Caenorhabditis elegans: one gene and its partners. The protein of the gene in region 1 interacts with the protein of each later gene in a pairwise test. Each region holds a gene or a part of one and is shown on either strand. Other genes may lie near its edges.

The links.
Region 2: the proteins of F52C6.3 (region 1) and zim-3 interact in a two-hybrid assay, tested with the Caenorhabditis elegans proteins (2 studies listed by BioGRID).
Region 3: the proteins of F52C6.3 (region 1) and gad-1 interact in a two-hybrid assay, tested with the Caenorhabditis elegans proteins (2 studies listed by BioGRID).

Annotation. Positions count from the first base shown.
Region 1 is NC_003280.10:1,923,087-1,926,253, reverse strand, and holds F52C6.3 (Ubiquitin-like domain-containing protein), read right to left. Parts: upstream 1,496-3,167; 5' UTR 1,488-1,495; coding exon 1,376-1,487; intron 1,328-1,375; coding exon 1,001-1,327; intron 950-1,000; coding exon 795-949; 3' UTR 534-794; downstream 1-533. Other genes in the region: F52C6.4 (Ubiquitin-like domain-containing protein), read right to left, coding at 2,751-2,941, 2,996-3,107.
Region 2 is NC_003282.8:10,556,826-10,561,718, reverse strand, and holds zim-3 (C2H2-type domain-containing protein), read right to left. Parts: upstream 3,005-4,893; 5' UTR 2,999-3,004; coding exon 2,900-2,998; intron 2,837-2,899; coding exon 2,115-2,836; intron 1,958-2,114; coding exon 1,696-1,957; intron 1,610-1,695; coding exon 1,358-1,609; intron 1,278-1,357; coding exon 1,084-1,277; intron 1,036-1,083; coding exon 974-1,035; intron 929-973; coding exon 793-928; intron 753-792; coding exon 734-752; 3' UTR 509-733; downstream 1-508. Other genes in the region: zim-2 (C2H2-type domain-containing protein), read right to left, coding at 3,695-3,771, 3,819-3,871, 3,923-4,116, 4,208-4,468, 4,541-4,820.
Region 3 is NC_003283.11:6,430,806-6,435,277, forward strand, and holds gad-1 (Gastrulation defective protein 1), read right to left. Parts: upstream 2,692-4,472; 5' UTR 2,683-2,691; coding exon 2,490-2,682; intron 2,443-2,489; coding exon 1,697-2,442; intron 1,649-1,696; coding exon 1,470-1,648; intron 1,426-1,469; coding exon 1,106-1,425; intron 1,059-1,105; coding exon 634-1,058; 3' UTR 515-633; downstream 1-514. Other genes in the region: erfa-1 (Eukaryotic peptide chain release factor subunit 1), read left to right, coding at 3,355-3,464, 3,511-3,836, 3,883-4,472.

The DNA of each region.
Region 1 (3,167 bases):
AAGAGCAAGTTAATATGGGCAAGAGTTTCGAAAAAATCAATAAATCGAAAAACAAATCTCGACAAACTACGGTAAGCGTAAAAGTTCACAATGAACACAATGCGCATGAATTGACGCGCATGCCGTTTTTTGAGTTTTTTTTTGGTTTTATTAGAATTTCAGCATTTTTTGCAGAAAATTTTAAAAAAAACTATTATAATATTTGAAAAGAAACATTTCAAGTACTGAATCAAGCAAAACAGGAAAAAAATATTACAAAAAACTGTTTGCGCGTCAATTAACATGCATTGTGCGCAACAGCGTACTTTCTCGTCTACCATAGTTTTGCCGATTTTTTATTAATTTTTTTGTGGTTTTTAACGAAAATTCTTGTGAGTTGAAATGTATTCTATGATAGAGAAATACAGAAATTAACGAAAAACCTGAAAAGCACACTTTCTGAATCACTGAAAAAGATTCTTTACGTTGGAAATTCAGAACACAAAGAAATATACCGGCTGTTTAAAAACCATATTTTTAATTTCAAAAAAATCTAAACTTTTTCAACATTCATCAACAAAAATAAACAGAACAGTAACAAAATAACAAGTAACAAATTAACAATATTCAAATTGAGAACTTCATCCACGAAGTCTGAGAATTAAACGGAGAGTAGCCTCATTATAGATGTTATAGGCAATCAAAGTACGGTCATCCTCGAGCTGCGATCCTTGATAAATAAGACGCTGTTGATCTGGTGGAATACCTTCCTTATCCTGAATCTTGAGCTTCAAGGTCTCAACAGTATCCGTATTCTAGATTGAAATGGTGATTGTCTTTCCGGTATAGGTTTTCACAAAAACGTCAATTTCTTTTTCTATAGAAACTTCCAAACGAAGAGTACTGCCGTTTTCGAAACTGTTGTCAAAAAGAGTGCTATGATCGCTAAACAAATCTAGGTCCCAGTTTTCTGTAAAAATTAAAGAAATTAGACATATCTTTCAATATTTAAAGTACAAACCCAATAATAGTTTTTGCGTATTTGGGAGGATTCTTAGTTTTTCCCAAATTTTAGCCTTGACACTTGCCATGGTATCGGAGGCGGAAGTGTCAAGTGTGCATGTTCTTCCAGCGTTCTCAACGTAAATTCGGATTCCTTCATGATGCAGTTCTTGCTGAGTCTCGGCAACCTTGACATTCAGATTTCCGATGACCTCCGATGATTCGACACTGATGGGATCTTCGGTCACTTCTTCTGATTCACGAAGCGGTGCTTGCTGAGCCTCTTGAATTTTGACATCTTGGACAGTGTCCTCCATTTCAATGATTTGATTTCCGGTACCTTTGTCTGAAAATGATTTTTTTAATGCAAAACCCAGAAAAAAACAATAAATACCGTAAGAGACAGTGAAAACGACTCCCTGTTTGTCGCGAACTTCAGTTTTCACACTTTTCGGCGCTTCCACTGTGATGTTTTTTCCAGTCGACGTTTTGATGGAGAGCAGCATGATTTTAGCTGGAAAAATTTATAAATTAAATATTATTGAGAGTTTTGCAACAGAAAAACGAGGACAACGGTGAAAAAAGAAGCAAACAAGGGAGAAATCTGGTTTTTGGATAATTTCGAAATGATTTTTCTTAAAAATATGAATAGAATGAATTAATAAATATTATTATCAAGATTTTGATGAATTACGGGCAAAAAGCAAGCTATAAAGAAGAATTGCGTTGAAAAAGTCAATAAATCGAAAAACAAATATTGCAAAACTACGGTAAGCAAAAAAAGTTCACAATGCACAAAGAACACTTTAATTGACGCGCAAATTTTATTGAAATTTCATTTATATTAAAAAACTTTTTTCTAAGTTTTCGATGAAAACATTTCGAGTACTGAATCAAGAAAAACGGAAAAGTCAATTATTTAATGTGTATCGTGTGCAACTGCCTACTTCCTCGTCTACCGTAGTTTCGCTGATTTTTTATTAAATTCTTTGTGGTTTTTTAAATAATAGAAATTCTAATTGAAGAAACATGTGCCAACAGAAATTCTAGCGGGTTGAATAATGCTAAATTGAATTAAATTCGAGTATTTCAAAATATCAGCCTGAAGTATCCAAAAACCTGAAAAACCAATTTTCTGAACCATCGAAATAAAATGTTTAAGTCGGAAATTCAGAACACAGAAGAATTTACTGGAAAAAAACCCTCATATATCATAAATATGGTACCTGTAATATTTTGAGACAGTGTTTTTAATTTAAAAATTAAAAAAAAAACCTTCAACATTTATCAACAATAAAAAACAAAAAAGTAACAAAACAACAGATTAAGAGCAATCAAATTGAGAACTTCACAACCGATGTCTGGAGACTAAATGGATAATATCCTCATCACGAATGTTATAGGCGAACAGAGCACGGTCATTCTCGAGCTGTGCCCGACCGAAAATGAGACGCTGCTGATCTGGTGGAACACCGTGTTTATTCTGAACCTTGAACTTCAATGTCTCAACAGTATCCGTATTCTTGATTGAAATAGGAATCGTCTTTCCGAATAAGGTTTTCACAGAAACCGTCAGTTTTTCTTTTACAGGAACTTCCAAACGGAGAGTACTGCCGTTTTTGATGTTGTAGTCAGAAATAGTACGTTGATCCTTGCACAAAACAATGTTGGAAGGTTCTGTAAAAACTAAAGAAATTAGACAAGCTATCAGTTTCAAAGTACTAACCCAAATATAGTTTCTGCAGATTTGATGGAAAACCTCGTTTTTCCTAGATTTTAGCCTTAACACTTGCAATGGTATCGGAGGCAGCAGTGTCAAGAGTGATCGTTTTTTCACAAGTTTTAACGTAAATTCGCATTCCTTCACGATGCGGTTTTCGCTGAGCCTCGGCAACCTTGAAATTAAGATCCTTGATGGCGTCCGATGCTTCAACAGTGATTGGATCTCCGGTTACTTCTCCTGAAAAAATAAACATATATTGAAATAAAAACCAAAAAAAAAATCGATAAATACCGTAAGAGACTGTGAAAACGACTCCCTGTTTGTCGCGAACTTCAGTTTTCACATTTTTCGGCGCCTCCACTGTGATGGTTTTTCCAGTCGACGTTTTGACGGAGAGCAGCATGGTTTTAGCTGGAAAAGTTGAATTTATTGAGAGTATTGCAACAAAAAACAGTGAAAAAAG
Region 2 (4,893 bases), on another chromosome or scaffold:
TCATAATAATCTGGCATGCATCTTTGAAATTAGAAAATTTTCATATTTTAACAAGATATTGACGAGCCTTCTCGTATTTTTTCCGATGGGTCTCGCCGCACAAAAAGTGTATGGTAAATAGGTTTAAACCTAGGTTTTTTTTCAATTTTTTGCTGCTACGCTTTTCTTGTATTTTCAAGAAAAAATCACTTAGTTTTTAGCGAAGTTTGTCGTTTTCTACTCATTTTCCTGTTTAAAATTGTTTTAGATCAGTTTTTTCCATAGTACAATTAACATTTATGATCAAAAATGCATGTTTTACACGAAGAAGGATATTAAAAAAATTTAACAGAAAAATGCAAAGTTAATAAGAAAATTAGCAAAAAACGAAGTAATGTTTTTAAAAAAGGAATGAAGCAGCCGAAAAAGTTAAAGAAAAGTACCATAAACTTTTTGCGCCTCGATGCCCATCTGAATAACTCCGTGTGCCTTTAAGAAGGTATATTAAAATTTAGTGATATCACATATATACAGAACTGAATTTAATAGTCAAAAAAGGTATTATAGATGAAAAACTCGCGGACAAAAAATTTACAAAACAAGTTATTTTTTAATGAAAAACATATTTTATAAGTTTATCTCGACAATAACAAACAAAAAACAAAACAAAACAATGAAACTATTACTAAAAAACATTGCAAATGTTACATGAGTTGACAAATAACACATTGTGCAGAGTCGTAGCGAAAGACGATCAGCGAATTCTGCGAAAACTAAACTTCAGAATAAAATAAAGTATATGGAAAAACCTACTAGAAAAGATCGTGTGATGGTCCTGGAGAGTCTTTATCTACATTCTCATTGTCGACTTCTGGAGTATTTTTCAGCGAGTTTTTACATTTTTTATATCTCCGCGGTTTCCCAATATTTCCGATGATGGAAGAATGTGCTGTAATTACACATTGAATATCAATATTTCATATCTGTCTAATACCTCCGAAGCACTTTTGGAAAAGATCGAAAATCGCCACTTCATCAAATTCGATATTGAACACTCTGAAATAATCGTGTTTTATATAATTTATTGAACAATTGACGGCTTACTTCTGAATATTAAACCCATCACACCTCACTTCTGGATGCATTTTTTGATAGTGATACTTCATTTGGGGATGTGTACTGCAAGAGTATTCACATGTGCGACAAACGAGACACTTTTCATTTTCATGAGTCATTGCATGATCCAGAAGTCGTTGTTTGCCGTATCGAAGTTTCCACGAGAGAATTTGCTTACAACCCTGAAAATAGCTTCTTTTTTTTAAATGTTGTCATATTTCCTGAACATCCTCCCTAAGAAATGGCTCAGATCGGAACTTACTTCGAAATTACATTTAATAATATGATTTTTATTCATTTGCTCGTTTCGCTTGTTAAGACGTTGGACAACTGGAACAGCAAACGAAACTTTTTTCGTCGAAGGAATCGGGCTCTCATCCTCTTCATCATCTTCACTGTTTTCCTCATTCTGCTGTTCTGCCTCATCAATTTCTGTTCCAACTTCTTCATAATTTCCGATCAGCACAGTATCCTCATCATCGAAATCATATTGAAACTCTCCCATGGTATTATGCTGCAAAATATTCAATTAAAAACGAAAATCTCATCATGTTGCGACAATTTACAAATTAGAAATAAAGGAAATCTCTTCAATCCTACCTCAGTTGACAGTTCTATGACTGGATGATGATCAACGATATGATTCCCAATCGAAACTGTTCTTTCTGAATCCGTAGCTTTCAAAACCGGCTTCACGTCCTCAGAAATAGAACTCCTGGGCTCAGTGCAAAGACTTTTTGCTGACAAAAACGATTCATTATCTCCATATTCATTAATTGGTTGTTCATATGAGAATCCATCTTTATCCAGTGGAATTGGTTCGGAGTGTGGCACCATGGTTTCATTTGAGCTTTCAATCGATCTAAAAAACAATGAAATTCTCAAGTATATATTTAATTTTACTGGTTTTTGGCATTATTGGAAGTTTGGTCTGTCTTCAATTGAAAATAGAGTAAGTATATCAACGTTGCTTAATTCGCTATACGAACGGTCAGAATTCTCGTCAGAAAAATTCTTACGTGAGCCGTCTTCTTTTCGTTAACTTTGAAACTGTAGGCTCTATTTTGACAGTTTCTTTGAGACTACTCAGAGTACTCAAACGTCTCGAGCTTCTTCTCTTTCCTTCCTGATATGGAACAATGGAACTAGCTGCTTCAGGAAGTGCTCGATAAAATGACGATTCGACCTCCTGACAGTTGGGGATCAAAGTGGTACAGTCATTGGAGGAATCTTCGAATAATTCATAACCTTGATAATTCGAATCAATTTCGGAAATTCTTTCTGTCATGTTCATTGTAAACTTTCGATCCAAACCATTTTGTGGTTTGATGGGAGTTGAAAAGCGGGGAACACCAATGTTTGCGAGAGTTGTGCTCAAAAGAATCGGAGCTTGATCAACATCGGCAACAGTTTGTACCATTTCTTCGAGCAAATCCTGAATCACGTCTTCCCTGGAAGTTTCGGATTGATAAGAGTTCTCCAGGCATTTATCAGTTTTATCGTCATCCGATAGAATCTCCGATAGCTTCTCAGCCAAATTCAATGTGAAATTTTTTGCAGAATTATATTTTGAATGGCCGACAGCAGGAGTTGAAAATCGAGGAAGCTTGTTAGTGGCCAAAGTTGTACTTAGTGGAACAACTGGTTCGATTGTACTTTCAGAATATGTAGAGCTTTCATTAGTTAAGCTCGTGTACATTGAGCCCTCCACAATCCAAAGCTTGGAGCAACCGATATTGTTCTGAAATAATAACTACTATTCAAATTCAAATAGCAAAAGATAAAATTTCCTTATCAAACCAACCAAAAGAGATTCCAACACAACTCCCTGTTGCTGAAGACCTTCTATAGTTTTCCCATAAATGTTCACTTGAATAAAACTGTTCCAGTCATCGCAGGTCATCTGAAAAATATACCATGAAAACATCAAGAATTAAAAAAATGTCCAAAAACATGTTCTCAGGCGTATCGACAACCGTTATTTACATAAATTCATCGCAATGAATAGTGAAGAAATTGAAAGTTTGTTATCATGATGATAAATATCAGGCTTAAAACAGTCTTTATTCATCTACTGGTTAAAATACAAAAAGAACAGGAACTAAAACGCGGAAACGAAACAAAATACTTCCGACAAATCTAGAAATGAAGAAAGACCTGATCGTTGTGAGACCTTTGACAAAAGTATAATGTGCCTTGAAAGTATACGGTAGGAAGAAATATAATACTGTATTTACTTACAATTAGTTTTTAAATTTTGTTGCATACAGCATTTCTTTTTTTGAAATAATTTTTAACATTTACATTTATAAAAACTACATTTTTGACTCTAAATAATTGTGAAAATATCATGTTTGATTCGTCAAAAGAACGATTAATCCAAAAAAAAAAAACACAATTAACTGAAAAAACACTGTATTTTATTTCTGTAAAACTACAAAATAATTAGAACATGATAATAATTGTACATGAGGGTGTCGTCGTGATGCTCATTAAATTCTGTTAAAACTGGATTTGAAATTAGTGATATGAGCAGTTATGGAGCTTACAAAAACATCTTCACATCTTCCGCTTGTACTCTAGAAGAGATTTTGGTTTTCTATAAGCGAATACTTTTGAGTTTTCGACGAGGAGTTCGTTCAGCTTTTCTAACGGGTCCGATCGTTTTCAGTTGATCTGGAATTTGAATAGCATGTAATCTCTAAATAATTAGAATAATGTACCTCCAAAACATTTATTCCATACATCTGAGAATTTGGTATTTTGAAGAGGAATGCTACAAGAGGGGTTTATCAGTTTTCAAACGGTTAGTTTTAAAAAATCTCACTTGAGAATTCCGAAGCCTTCCATTTTCAGATTTGCATGAATCTTTTTGTAGTGATAACGCATTTGTCGAGTTGTCTGGCATGAATATTCACATTTCTGGCAGTCAATGGATTTTTCCTCTTGATGTGATAGTGCATGATCGACCAGTCTAAGTTTTCCATAACGAATCTTCCAGTGAATTTTTCGATTACAGTTCTGAAAAGATTATTGATTGAAACACATTATATCTATGCGACTTTTTATTGAAATTCAGTTTTTTCTCTGACAACGCGGCAAAACAACTCACATCAAAATGGCATTTAATGTTATGAACTTTATTCATTTCTTCTTTTTGTTTGTTGGGACTTTGAACAAGTGGAAATGCAAATGAAACTCGATTTTTCGAAGGAATCGGGCTCTTTTCCTTTTCATCATCTTCACTGATAACCTCATACTGATCTTGATCATCTACTTCAACGATTTCGGCTCCCACCTCTTCATAGTTTTCAATCAACATAGTATCCTCGACGTCAACGAAATTATTTTGAAACACTCCTTCGATGTTATGCTGCAATTTCATTAATGAAAACGGATAACTCAACAAGTTGTGATTATTTCAAATTCGATTTTTAAACATTACATCTCTTGACAGTTCTATGACTGGAGGTTGATCACTGATAATGCTTCCAGTCAAAACTGTTCTTCCAGAATTCAAAACTTTCAGAACTGGCTTCAAGTCGACAGCATTACAAAAACTGGGCTCATCACAATGACTTTTTGCTGATGAAAATGATTCATTATCTCCATATTCATTAATTGGATGTTCGTACGAAAAACCATCTGATTGAATAGCTGATGTAGAAACAGGAAATGTATGTTCAATATTAGGACGCACAGTTTGACTTAAAATTTGAATCGGCCTGAAAATAACGAAATTCTTAAGTAAATAACTATCGGTGATTGGAATCGTTAGGAGTTTTGAGTATATTTATA
Region 3 (4,472 bases), on another chromosome or scaffold:
GAAACAGGAAGAAAATGTGAAAAGGAAATTGTAGAGTAAACAGTTGTGGAACTGTAATTTCGGATTGCATGTTTGTTCTACACACTTCAGCAAAAAGTGACCCTTTGAATAGGCTGCACATGGTATCAGTTGTGGGAAAATGTATGATAAGAAAGAAATGGAATGGAGGCCATGTCAATAATTTCTTCTTTAAATATAGTTTTCTCAATTTTTGGAATTAAATCCATAATAGAAACGTTTTTAAAAATACAGTTTCAGGTTTTTGGATTAGGAGATCAAAAGCGAAACATCCGAACCGGGTTCAATTTTAAAAGTGAACCTGATCCCGATTGGATACAATTCTTGCGGCAAAAGTGTAGCCATCGTCCACCGGACACTGACACAAACGACCACATATTGTTGAAATGGGGGGGAGTTGGAAGAATGGGAAAGATAGAAGTGAGCAGCATGCTAGAGTGTAGCTAGCGTTAGATATTTGGACAAGACAATGACTATGGCGAACACACAATTTCTCCAACATCATGTGATCATTGACTCTATATTTATTGGGACACAAAAAATAGAGAAAAAAATAGGAAAACAATATTACAAGAGGGAGACAGACAGATGAAAAACAAAAAATTAATGCAACGACTACTTCGTTCTCGGCATTTTGAAGACAGGCTGTAGCTCTTCGTCATCTTGATCTTCTGGCTCGACTGCAGTTTCTTGGAAAATCTTCTTTGGCTGTGTCTTTCGATACGCTTTATCAATGTACAATGGATTCTCTTCGGCGTCTTTAGCATGTTTCAGGATGCTTGCACGAACATCGGTATCTTTTAGGAACTCGGCATTACGAGCAGTTCCGATTTGCTTTGCCAAATACGAATGAAGACTTCCACCACTTGCAGCCACACGTCCATTTGCGCTCTTTCCGTTGATAGGCATATCTGCAGGCTTCCGGAACTCGGGACGAAGCTTGTTATCCTGCATTCGGAGATACTTCTTGATTCTCCATCCAGTGACTTCCTTTTCTTCTCCTTCCTCTCCGCGCGGTTGGAACATTTCGAGGGAAAGAGCTGAAATATGAAGATAAATATTTTTCGAAAAAAATTGTTTAACTTACGAGAAAGAACCATATCTTCTCGAACAACTTCAGATGCGCGATTTCTTTTGAGTGGCTTCGTCACACATGACATAACTCCTCGCTGTGACATCGTTTGATCGTAGTACACGTGAATGGTGCCATCCGAGAGTCCAGCGATAATTTGATTCAATCGCGGGTGCCACTGAATTCGGTGGCACGAAATTCCAGGGTAATCAATTTTATAGACAAGATCAAATGTCATTGGATCAAAGAATTGTAATGTTCCAGGTGTATCCTTGTTGGGTGACGATGTACCAGTGAAGACAACCTCGGCACGAGGGGAGAATCCGCAATCAGTACTACAAAAAATATACTTATGGTGAAGTTTTTAATAGAAGGATACCTTTTGAAAGCGTTTTCGAGACCGGTTTTCACAAGAAGCGGCTCTTTTGGGTTATCTAAGCTCCACATCTTCAGAGTGTCATCAAAACCTCTAGACAGTAATCTCTTTGAATCGGGCGAAAAAGCAATAGAAGTAATCGAGCCGTTGTGAGCTTTGCGTACAAGGTAATTTACATTGACCTAAAATTAAAATATGAGAATAAACAGTGTTTTTGAACTTCAACTTACATATTGCGATCCATACTTCCATGCTTGAACAGATCCGTCATCACAACCGGCGGCAATCCATTTTCCGTCAGGAGAAAACGTGCAAACTTGCGGGCTGACACGTTTTCCATTAGCTCCTTTTGTTTTGATGACTTTCCTGTGCTTGTTGATGCATTTGGTGATTACTTTATGATCATCGAGGTTCCATAGTCGTAGACTTCCATCATCAGAACAAGAGATAAACTCGTTCTTGTTTAGTGGATTGAATTCGACACAGTTAACTGTTGCTGTGTGTCCTTTAGTGATGTTTAAATCAATAATATACTGATCTCCACGAACTGTTTCAGACCATTGTTTTCCTGCTCGATCCAGTAGGCGAATGATAGCTTCTCCACTAGCTACTACAAGAGTTTCGCCGTTCGGAGAGAATGCCAGGGAATTGATAACGTGACTTTCTGCAGGCAGAAGCTCTTTGTCGTATCTCATTGACATGTCCATTTTTTGAAAATCGAACAGCTTCACGTAATAGTCAAGCCCTCCACTGGCAAACCGAACACCAGGAGGCTCAACCCGAAGTGCACTGATGGCTTGAGTGCCATGGCTGATCTTCGCTTCACATGCAGCTGGAATCAGTTTGATGATGGAGATTGCTTCTGTCTCGTCAAAATCGCTATCATCACTATCTTCGGGACCTTCAGCTCGAGACGAGGAGGGGCCCGCTTCAGACTGTTGCATTTGGAATCCTGGAGGTAGATCTGGCATGAAATCTGGAAAAAACAAATTTGAAATAATTAAAACATTATATTCGGCTTACCATCTTCATCATCAGATACAGCTGAAGAAGAAACACCAGATTCTGATTTAGAAGACACCGATACCGACTGCGGAACGTGAGTTGGTTCCTCAGTTCTGGGAGCATTGCTTATCGTTTGCGCGAACATTGCTTGGAGGTCAAAGACGCGTGCCTTCTTTTCAGAATTCTTTTTTGGAGCCGTATTATCATCCATTGTGGTGATCTGAAAGAATTATTGAAATTCGTTTTCATCTATTAGGCGGTAACGGGAAAAAAAGAGTTAATAACGAAAAGAAACGTGTAATACAACCAATATAATGAACTGCCGTGGTACATATATAATATTTTGGCGAAAAAAACTAATAAATTCTGGAAACAGTCCTGGAGTTCTGATGAAAGCTGAAAAATGTTTTCGAATTTCGAACATTGAGGACGTGGCTGACTTGTTTCGGAGACTAGGCCGCGGAGAAAGTGTGGACAATCGGACATTACTTCGCGCCGAGACCCTTCCACAAACCGTATTCGTGTTCCTTGGCACCATTTAAATTCTTTTCCCATTTTCAGTTTTTAAAGTTTTTACGCGTCATCAATTATCGATTTTTGCAGTTTAAATTGTTCAGAAATGTTTTATTCATCATTTTGTCATTGCTCAGAGAAAACGAAATACATTTTCTTCTAAAAAAATCAAATTGAAACCATTGCAACATGTTGCACAATATTCTAATTTTCCATCACAACTCTGTGCAATGTAGAATAACCAGTTCTCTATAAATATCTTTTTTTTCGCATTTTTGAGTTTCTTCCCCGAATTAATTACTTTAACTCTCTTTTCGTGTTTTATATAATACAATTACAGGTAATCGGTGACGTGCAGCACAAATAGAATATGAGCGCTCCCGCAGCAGGTGCTACCGCCGGAGGCGATGACGCCGCCGATAGAAATGTCGAAATGTGGAAAATTAAACGGCTCATCAAAAGTTTGGAATTAGCCAGAGGGTAACTATTTTCGTGAAGCGTTTATTTTACATTTGTTTTTTTACAGAAATGGAACTTCTATGATTTCGCTGATCATTCCACCAAAAGATCAAGTGGCTAGAATCCAGAGAATGTTGGCCGAAGAGTACGGAACGGCATCTAACATCAAGTCTCGTGTCAACAGACTTTCCGTTTTGGGAGCTATCACATCAGTACAGGGAAGATTGAAACTCTACAACAAAGTCCCACCAAATGGATTGGTCGTTTACTGTGGAACAATCATGACCGACGAAGGAAAGGAAAAGAAAGTTAACATTGATTTTGAGCCATTCAAAGCAATCAATACTTCATTGTATCTCTGCGACAACAAATTTCACACCGAAGCTCTTCAAGGTATTTCTAATTTTCATCATGCATCATAAAATATACCATTTTTCAGGTCTTCTTGCTGACGATAACAAGTTCGGATTTATCATTATGGATGGAAACGGTTGTCTGTTCGGAACACTCCAAGGAAACACTCGTGAAGTTCTGCACAAGTTCACTGTCGATCTTCCAAAGAAGCACGGTAGAGGAGGTCAATCTGCTGTCCGTTTTGCTCGTCTCCGTAATGAGAAGCGGCACAATTACGTCCGTAAAGTAGCTGAAAATTCGGTGGAACAATTTATCAAGAACGACAAGGTTACAGTTGCTGGACTTATTCTTGCTGGTAGTGCAGATTTCAAGACAGAGTTGGGACAATCTGATATGTTTGATCAAAGACTTCAAGCCAAGATGATCAAGACTGTCGATATTGCTTATGGTGGTGAAAATGGTTTCAACCAAGCTATTGAACTTGCTGCCGATACGCTGGCAAGTGTTAAGTTCATTCAGGAAAAGAAACTGATTGGTGGATATTTCGATGAAATCAGCCAAGACACTGGAAAATACGTTTTCGGAGTTAAAGACACTCTTGCCGCACTTGAAATGGGAGCTATTGAAACTCTCATCTGCTGGGAGAATTTGGATATTGTTCGGTACAAGATGAAA